Linked DNA regions of Oryctolagus cuniculus. The protein of the gene in region 2 binds, or shares a complex with, the protein of the main gene of each other region. Links are inferred from orthologs where the notes say so. Each region holds a gene or a part of one and is shown on either strand. Other genes may lie near its edges.

Region 1 (3,819 bases), on a different chromosome or scaffold from region 2:
CTCTGCAGCCCGTCCTCTGCAGCCCGCCCTCTGCAGCCCGTCCTCTGCAGCCCGTCCTCTGCAGCCCGTCGGCACCTCCAGCACCAGGTCATGCAGTGGGCCCCGCCAGGCCCTGCACTCGTGGGACGCACCCCTCCTCCACCCCCACCCCCAGCCAGCCGTGTGCCCTGGACTACCTTCCTAGAACCAAGCCTTCTAGCACAAAATTGACCTTCTCTGAAGAAGGAAGGGCACTTCCAATTGGGACTAAAGACAAATGAATCCCTATAATTTCCGTCTGTATCTTAGACTGGTATGTATTTTTGAAGTCTTGGCCGAATGCGTCTTCACAAGCAAAGCCATCAAGACAGCATGGAGACACCTGAGAATGGCAAGATGCACTTAAGGGAGAGAGCCAGAGAGGGAAACAAAGAAAAACCAAACCAGAAAACCACACTGGCTTCAATAAATAAACCAACAGAGAAAGGAAATGGATCTAAGTAAACTAAAAAACTAGTCAGACTGGAAAGTTTCCATACCGAAGACAGAAACTCTTCTTGGTCATTCATACTCTCAGATACACTGTCAGAAAAGTTGGCTTCATTCATATCTAGCGTGGAAGGCAAAGAGTGAGTCTGACACAGAAAGTAAGAAGGCAAAGAGACGGTGGAGCTGCAAGGGCTGATCGGAGAAGTCAGGGGGCTGAGGACCCTGGCCAGGGGCTCAGGACTGTCCGCCGGCTGTCCTCGGGGGGGATGCAGACCTGCTTTGTAGTGCTCAGCCTTTGCCTCACCAGGCCTGCGCTGGCTGTGGGTTGGCCTGGAGAGCGGATTAGAAAACAAGACAAATAAAATACAACATGAGCACCCACTCCGCCAGAGGTTCTGGACATCTAACCCCCACTGCGAGCCCCTGCGGGCCCCTGCCCTCACACAGTCCACGCTTCCAGAGAAATCCAGTGCGGCTTGTGCTGCGACAAGGGAAGTGCTGTGCACACAGGCAGGGACCCAACCTCACCAGGCAGTGGAGGTGAGGGTTGCAGAAGAGGTAAGGCGGGGCTGAGGGTGGCAGCAAAGCCTTCTGGTAGACAAACATGTGAGTTACACAGTATAAGCTATAATCGGGCAGCTTTTCATTGCATGCTTACTTTTTAGGGCAACAGCCTATAACAAAGTGACCACAAGTCCAGAGGAAGCTTTAATTCTACTCCTTCTGGGGGCAAGTGGGCTTGAGGAGCTGGAAGGCAGCACGAGGAGACTCGGGAACACAGCCGCTGTGTACACCCACAGCCAGAGTGCACAAAACTAAGGCTTTCATGAAGTGCTCTGCCACCTCCCCCTGGCTCTTTTTAACCTGATTGTGGCTTTCCTTGTGCACACGGTCCTGCAGAATTCAAGTCCTTTCATGTCTCCAAGTCAGACATTATTCTCAAATAATTTATTAATAAAAATTATTAATAATAAAAATTATTCTCAAATAAATATTCTCAAATAAAAAAGATGAGAATTATAGTGCAACAGGACACATTCGAAATCATCCTTAAGGGTGGGCATTTAGCCCAGAGGTTAAGACACGGGTTTGACAAGCACGACCCATGCTGGAGTGCCTGGGTTCAGGTCCCAGCTATGCTCCTGATTCCAGCTTGTCGCCAGTGCCTACTCCAAGAGGTAGCAGGAGACGGTTTAAGTTCTTGGGTAACCCTGTTAACATGGGAGACCTGGACTGAATTCCTGGCTCCTAGCTTCAGCCTCACCCAGTCCCCACTGGGTGGAGTGAACCTGTGAATGGGAGATGTCTCTATCTCTGTTTCTCTTTCAAACAAAAAGCAAATTTAATCAATCAATAAATACATAAATAACTCTCAACAAATTTTACTTGAACTCCGTTTCCTTGAACTCAGTTGTTCTGCTCTGTGTTGGTTTGAAAGTTCTGTCAATTTTTTTTTTGCACATCTGAGTAGAAATCTCCAGCTGAGATTTGGTATCCAACAAATCTTTCTGTAGTTGCTGATTTTCGGACACTAATTTATTTAATGCATCAATATAATTCTCCTGAAGATCTGCTAGTGAGATCTCTTTTGCCTGATAAAAAAGAATACTAGAGTCACTTAATTTGTACAAGAATACATGTGATCTGTGATATTGCTGGTGGAAAAACTTTTTTTTATAGTTCCAACTAATCTATGGCTTTACTTTAGCAAAACTGAAGATTTTTTTTTTTTTAGTCCTCTTGAAACCAAGAGAAAAATGGTTCCATTTCTTGGTGTAACTGGACTAGGAGGCTGGAAGCACAGTGAGCTTCCTTATGTGCCAAAGCACACCCAAGGTGCAGGAGGAGGAGGAGGCTGGGAGCAGGGAGGCTGTGGGTGAGAGCAGAAACAGAAGACAGGAGCCAGCAGCCTGGTCCTTCTGACCAGCCCAGGATACCCAGCAAGAAAACCCAGACACCTACTTCAAATAAAAAGATTGTCTTAATAAACCACTTTTTATATTTTTAAATTTGAAAAGCAGAGAGACAAAGAGAGAGAGAGAGAGATCTGAATAAAGTTTCTGACAAGGAATTCTGGCTGAGAGGATTAAATAAATACTCCTTGTTGTTAAATGCTTTTACATAACTTTGGCATCTGTTCTTACATGTACATTTGGATAAAGCAGAACTCAAGTACAAGGGCACTTTAAAAATTTCATGGAAAATGGTATAAAGAAGTAAGTTTGTAGGGTGACGTTTGGCCTGGTGGTTGGGATGCCCATGTCTCATATCAGGAGGCCTGGGTTTGATGCCTGGCTCCCTGGCTTCTGATTCCAGCTTCCTGCTGGCAGAGCCTCCAGGACGTGGTGGCTGGGTTCCTGCTGCCCACACTGGAAACTTGGAATGAGCTCCCAGGCTCCCAGCTTCAGCCCCTCTCTGCCACTGCAGGAATGTTGGGGGTGGGGGGAGCTGGGGTATGTGGACTGGTTGATGGGAGCTCTCTCATTCCCTGGGTGTGTGTGTGTGTGTGTGTGTGTGTGTGTATCTCTGCTTTTCAAATCAGTAGATTTTCTAAAGATAAGTTTATTTCAGTGCAAAAAATTTTGAAATCCATGCAGTTTTCTTGTAATGCCTATTTTCCATGAACTTTTTGAAGGTCCTCTGTATATGGCAGGACTTACTGCCCTGGTCTGCTCTTAATTCTGTGACCATAAATTATATTGTTCTTCAATTCTAGGTAGTTCCTGGTAAAACAGTACCTGAAAAAATGGTAGACTGGGCCATTTTTTTCTAATGACAAAATGTTTTAGCTAGCATTCTGCAAAATTATGGTGATCTTTGGAGTTTAATGTGCTGTTTAGCTTGCTCCTTTCTGCAAAAAATCTAAGAAGAGTAAGATGGTCAAGAGGGGCCTGGAAAACAGCTTGCCCAACAAGAATATAAACTCTAAAATACACCTGTTAACACCCTGTTTACTAGCAAAGTTAATGAACCAGAGACTTTTCAAACAAGCCGGCACCAAGGCGGGGTCTCAGAGAAGGGCAAACTGCCACCCATGGTTAAAAAACGGCCAATAATTTACAGGAGCTGTGGCTTTCATTATGAAGAGCATTAGAGAACTAATTCAAATAGATACTTCAACCCAACATTCATTTGTAAAAGTAATTCTCCCTCCCAAGGTGGTAAAAGGCAAAAGAGCACTTTCTAATAATAAATCTTATTAACATGTATAACACATTCACCCTGTGCATGACCTCAAAACCAGAGTGTGTTTAAATGGCTTACAGGCTTCTCAGCAGCCAGAGTCTGAGGCATGACACCATTTAAAACACACTTTTAAAACAGACAGTGCCTGCCTCTGCCAGGTACCTT
Region 2 (4,523 bases):
TGTTTGGGGCCCTGCACCCGTGTGGGAGACCTGAGAGAAGCTCCTGGCTCCTGTCTTCAGTTCAGCCCAGCTCTGGCCACAGTGGCCATTTGGGGAACGAACCAGAGGAAGGATGACCTTCTCTCTGCCTCTCAAATAATTAAATCTTAAAAAGACAAATATTACATATGGAAAAATCACATAAAGTTAAAAAAATGAGAAAAATATTTGCAAAACACATGACCGAGTAAATATATATAACACTTGCCAAGAAATAAGGTGAGCAACTCGGGGCAGGTGCTGTGGTGTAGCAGGAAAAGCCACCACCTACAGTGCTGGCATCCCATATGGGCACTGGTTCGTGTCCCGGCTGCTCCACTTCTGATCCAGCTCTCTGCTAATGACCTGGGAAAGCAGTAGATGACCCAAGTACTTGGGCCCCTGGACCCACAAAGGAGATCCAGAAGAAGCATCTGGTTCCTGGCTTTGGATTGGCCCATCTTCCGGCCATAGTGGCCATTTGGGGAGTGAACCAGCTGCCTCTGCCTCTCTGTAACTCTGCCTTTCAAATAAACAAACAAATCTTTAAAAAAAAAAAAAAAAAAGATGAACAACTCAATTTAAAAATGGGCAACTGAGCTAAAAATGCATTTTAAATATAAATGCTCAATTAATTTAAAAAAAGGCTTACACTCATGAACTATTCCAAGTGTCATTTAAACAAGAAAAATGTCATTTTAAACAAGTAGATATTTTGTGTGACTCATGAATTGTTAGCAAAATTAAAACTATCTTGAAATCAATAATATATGTGCCCTAGTAAATGCCATTAGTAAAAATGAAATTTTCCTGTATTTATTTCCTGTATTTACAGATTTAAAAAATCAAGATGCAGAATAACAATATGCTTTTAAAAACAGCAGTCTAGTTACTTTCTTCCTAGATAACATTTTCCGAATCCTTAACAGACTATAAAACACACGTCTGCCTTTTTGTCACACTCAGATGGGACAGCACTCTGACTCAGCACTTATTTTGTTGTCTCTGGTTATGTTTTCTTTACCTTTCTTGCACAGAGAAGAAAACTAATAGCTGTTTTGTTGGACAAAAGATTACAAAACAAAACTAGCACTGTTTTTGCCTCATGAAATGCACAATAAAAACACTAAAGGCTTAAAATGTCTGCCTCCTTGCACATGGTAGGCACATCACACATATTCATTGAATATACACACATCACACCTTATGAAATTCTCTACGACAATACAGTTTTATTGACCACCTACTGAGTGCCAGATTATATCCTAAATGCATCTAAAACAGGGTACCAGCCTGGGGGAGATCACAGTCTTATAAACTAGTAGTTACAATAATACATTGTATTACATTCTGTAGTAGAGGAAAACAAAGTACAAATTAACTTTGCCTAAGAAGGGAGGTTTAGAGAAGTTACAGAAAAAAGATGCTTTAGATTAGAAATATCTGTAGATACTAAGGGGCACAGCATGGGTAACTGGCTGAAGAGTTAGTCGCTGATTTAGTCAACCAGGGCTCATTTCTGGCCATTTCATTTATCAGCTATGTAATCTTAAGCAACTGTTTCCATTTCTTCGTGAATTAATATCTCAAAGACTGGTTGTGAGAATTGACAAAATGATGCACATAAAATGCTTAGCACCATGTACCAACCAACACATCTTAGGTTATTACTATTAAGACTTTATGACTGTTGAACTGGAGACTGCCAGCCACAGAAGAAGTTTAGGGAACAAACAGCATCCCATTTAACTGAGAAATGGAGAGTGTGCAGCCTGTGGGAAACCGTACTTCAAATAACACAACCAACCCCCTCTGGAATGAAGATGCACCTCTTGCAAGATGCTCCTCAATCCTGCTCCCCCATGAAATCAAATCCTTCTTTGCACTTCAGACTGCATTTCCAATGCTTTTCAACTTCAGTCTCTTTTGAAAGCATGCACTTATCTAGAAATTATGCATAAAATGTCACGAAACATGGATATGAGATGAAAATCCGCTTAAGGCATTCAAATTCAGAACTACAAAATTAAAAGGGTTAAGTGATTAGGAACTGTCCTGGGAGTTGGGAAATTCTACTTACTTGCTAAGATGGAAACAACTCACTATCCTGTTTTAGACCTGAAAGGCTCAGCTGAGGATGCCTATTCAATCGTAACCACTGTTTAAGACGACAAAGCTTAACAGAACAGGATAAAAAGAAAGAAAACAGCCCTATAAAAAGAAATAACATGACGATTCTAATGACAGCAGCTTGGACAGATAGCTAAGAGGCCCAGAGGCAATCTTACTACACGGTAGGCACCCACAGAATGAACGAGTGTATAAGTACAAAAGTAAATGCCCTTGCATAAACGAACGACCTTACCGAAGAACTGTTGGACCTCAGTCAAGACACATCCAACAGCTACCCAGAGACCCAAGCTGCACGGCGCCCAGCTGCCTAGGGCTGCCTGCTTTGGTGCCAACGACACCTGCACTCGGTCAGCATACGTGCACAGAGCGCCCACTGTGAGCCAAGCGCGGCGCTGGGTGACCACTGCTGGGGTCTCCGGCGTGGGGCCTGGGGGCGCCCGAAGGAGAGAAGAGCAGGGCTCCCCAGCCGTCACTTTCAATTAGGAACCTGGGGTCAAAAGCTCAGCTCTGCAACCTGAGGGCAGTCCACCACTGCGCAATGTGGGAGGGGGTGGATCTGTCCTTAGGGAAGCCTCAGCCAGGATCCCGAGGACCCCGTAACTGTTCCAACCCCAGGCCTATCCCTAGGCGCGAAGCAGAACTTACCGGGGGTCACGGACGCTGTCACTTGGGGAAAATTCAGGCCCCAGCCGAAGACCAACTTCTAGCAACCCCCCTTATCCTAGCTCTAATCCACTAGCTCCCGCCTAGTCGCAACCTAACCCGGAGCCACGAGGCCTTTGATTAGCAGCAGCCTCCTTAAATCACCGTCTGGACTCTCGCTTGGTGGGCGGGGCCATATCGGCTATGGGCGGGGCGAGATGCTCCGCCTTCCTCAAGCTTGGTTGAGAGGTCTGCCTGCAGTTGCAAGTGTATGGCTGTTTGAAAGCGGGCGCCAGAGGTGGCGGGAAGCTCCCCCCGTGCGTCCATTGGAGGATTTGTGAGCCAATTACGAGAGGGTTGACTCTGGAGTGGGCGGGCTTATAGGTATCCTAGAGACACAGGAGCGCCAAGCCAGATAACTTAGTTTAGATCAGCAAAGCCAGGTCCGCTGTGCCACTGGTGCGGGAAATAGGCGCCGAACCTCGTGCCCTGCCCGCTTCCACTCCTAAATTCTAGTTGTCGGCTACAGCACTCAAGCTCTGTTTCCTCACAGAACTCTTGCGTAGAGATTTTTGCATTTGCCCTTCTTTTCTAAGGTGCTGGTTTCTCCAGCTCCCAACAGCCAGACATGTTGTTTTTGCTTTGTCGTATTGCTGCCTAGGCCCTGCCTTGTTTAAGTGTGATTCTAGTTGCTAAAAAAAAAGGGCCCATTCTATCACATATGCATTCACTAATTTCCTTGATTATGAATGCTTTTGTCACTGAGGTTTGCGTTATCCTGTCCTTGAATGCAGCACCACCCTGTCTTCTGAAAAACCGGTTACTATATCTACCTGCTCTGGTTAAAAGGTTCTGGTGAACATCGAAGGTTAGCAGCTGTGGGATAGTGAGGTAAAGCCACCGCCTGCAGTGCCGGCATCCCATATGGGTGCTGGTTCCTGTCCCTCTGCTCCACTTCCGATCCAGCTCCCTGCTATGGCCTGGGAAAGCAGTAGATGGCCCAAGTCCTTGGGCCCCTGCACTCACATAGGAGACCCGGAAAAGGCTTCTGGCTTCTGATGGACCCAGCTCCCGCCCTTGTGGCCATCTGGGGTGTAACCAGTGGATGGAGGACCTCTCTCTGCCTCTCGGTAACTCTGCCTTTCAAATAAATAAATAAATATTTTTTAAACTAATAAAATAGGGCCTGCGCAATGGCACACTAGGTTAATCCTCAGCCTGTGGCACCGGCATCCCATGTGGGCGCAGGGTTCTAGTCCCAGTTGCTCCTCTTCCAGCCCAGCTCTCTGCTGTGGCCCGGGAAGGCAGTGGAGGATGGCCCAGGTGCTTGGGCCCTGCACCCGAGTGGGAGACCAGGAAGAAGCACCTGGCTCCTGGCTCCTGGCTCCTGGCTTCGGATCGGTGCGGCTTCGGCTGTTGCAGCCATTTGGGGGTGAACCAACAGAAGGAAGACCTTTCTCCCTGTCTCTCTGTCTCTCTGTCTATAACTCTACCTGTCATATAAATACATAAAATCTTAAAAATAATAATAAAATAAAAAAGGCTGCCAGCAACAGGTTCATCATATCCTTTTAATTAGTGCTTTCCCATGGATACTAGTATGGAGTAAAGTGCTCCTTCAAGGCTCTCCAGAACAGGGCTAGTTTTCCTTAGCTCCTTCCCATCACACCCCCATGTTGCCTGCACTGACTGGCATCATCTAGCATACGGTGTGGTGTATAATGAGAACT

What was found.
Region 1: the proteins of CEP152 (region 2) and CEP63 are in contact, whole or in part, in a crystal structure (PDB 6CSU), measured with the Homo sapiens proteins. The link is inferred for Oryctolagus cuniculus from reciprocal best matches to the Homo sapiens genes CEP152 and CEP63. Residues at the interface, in NP_001181927.1 of Homo sapiens: Gly1261, Ala1262, Glu1265, Leu1266, Gln1269, Tyr1270, Lys1272, Ala1273, Lys1276, Ile1277, Asp1280, Met1281, Tyr1284, Glu1287, Ser1288, Arg1291, Ala1292, Met1295, Ala1298, Arg1302; in NP_001340037.1 of Homo sapiens: Phe666, Glu669, Glu670, Arg673, Ile677, Arg680, Leu681, His684, Glu687, Leu688, Glu691, Ser692, Thr695, Phe699.

What each region holds. Positions count from the first base shown.
Region 1 is NC_091435.1:146,914,952-146,918,770, forward strand, and holds part of CEP63 (centrosomal protein of 63 kDa), read right to left. Parts: intron 3,331-3,819; exon of another isoform or gene 3,207-3,330; intron 2,061-3,206; coding exon 1,855-2,060; intron 799-1,854; coding exon 519-798; intron 1-518. UniProt on the Homo sapiens protein: Required for normal spindle assembly.
Region 2 is NC_091443.1:71,633,865-71,638,387, forward strand, and holds the start of CEP152 (centrosomal protein of 152 kDa), read right to left. Parts: upstream 2,937-4,523; 5' UTR 2,797-2,936; intron 2,653-2,796; exon of another isoform or gene 2,384-2,652; intron 1-2,383. UniProt on the Homo sapiens protein: Necessary for centrosome duplication; the function also seems to involve CEP63, CDK5RAP2 and WDR62 through a stepwise assembled complex at the centrosome that recruits CDK2 required for centriole duplication.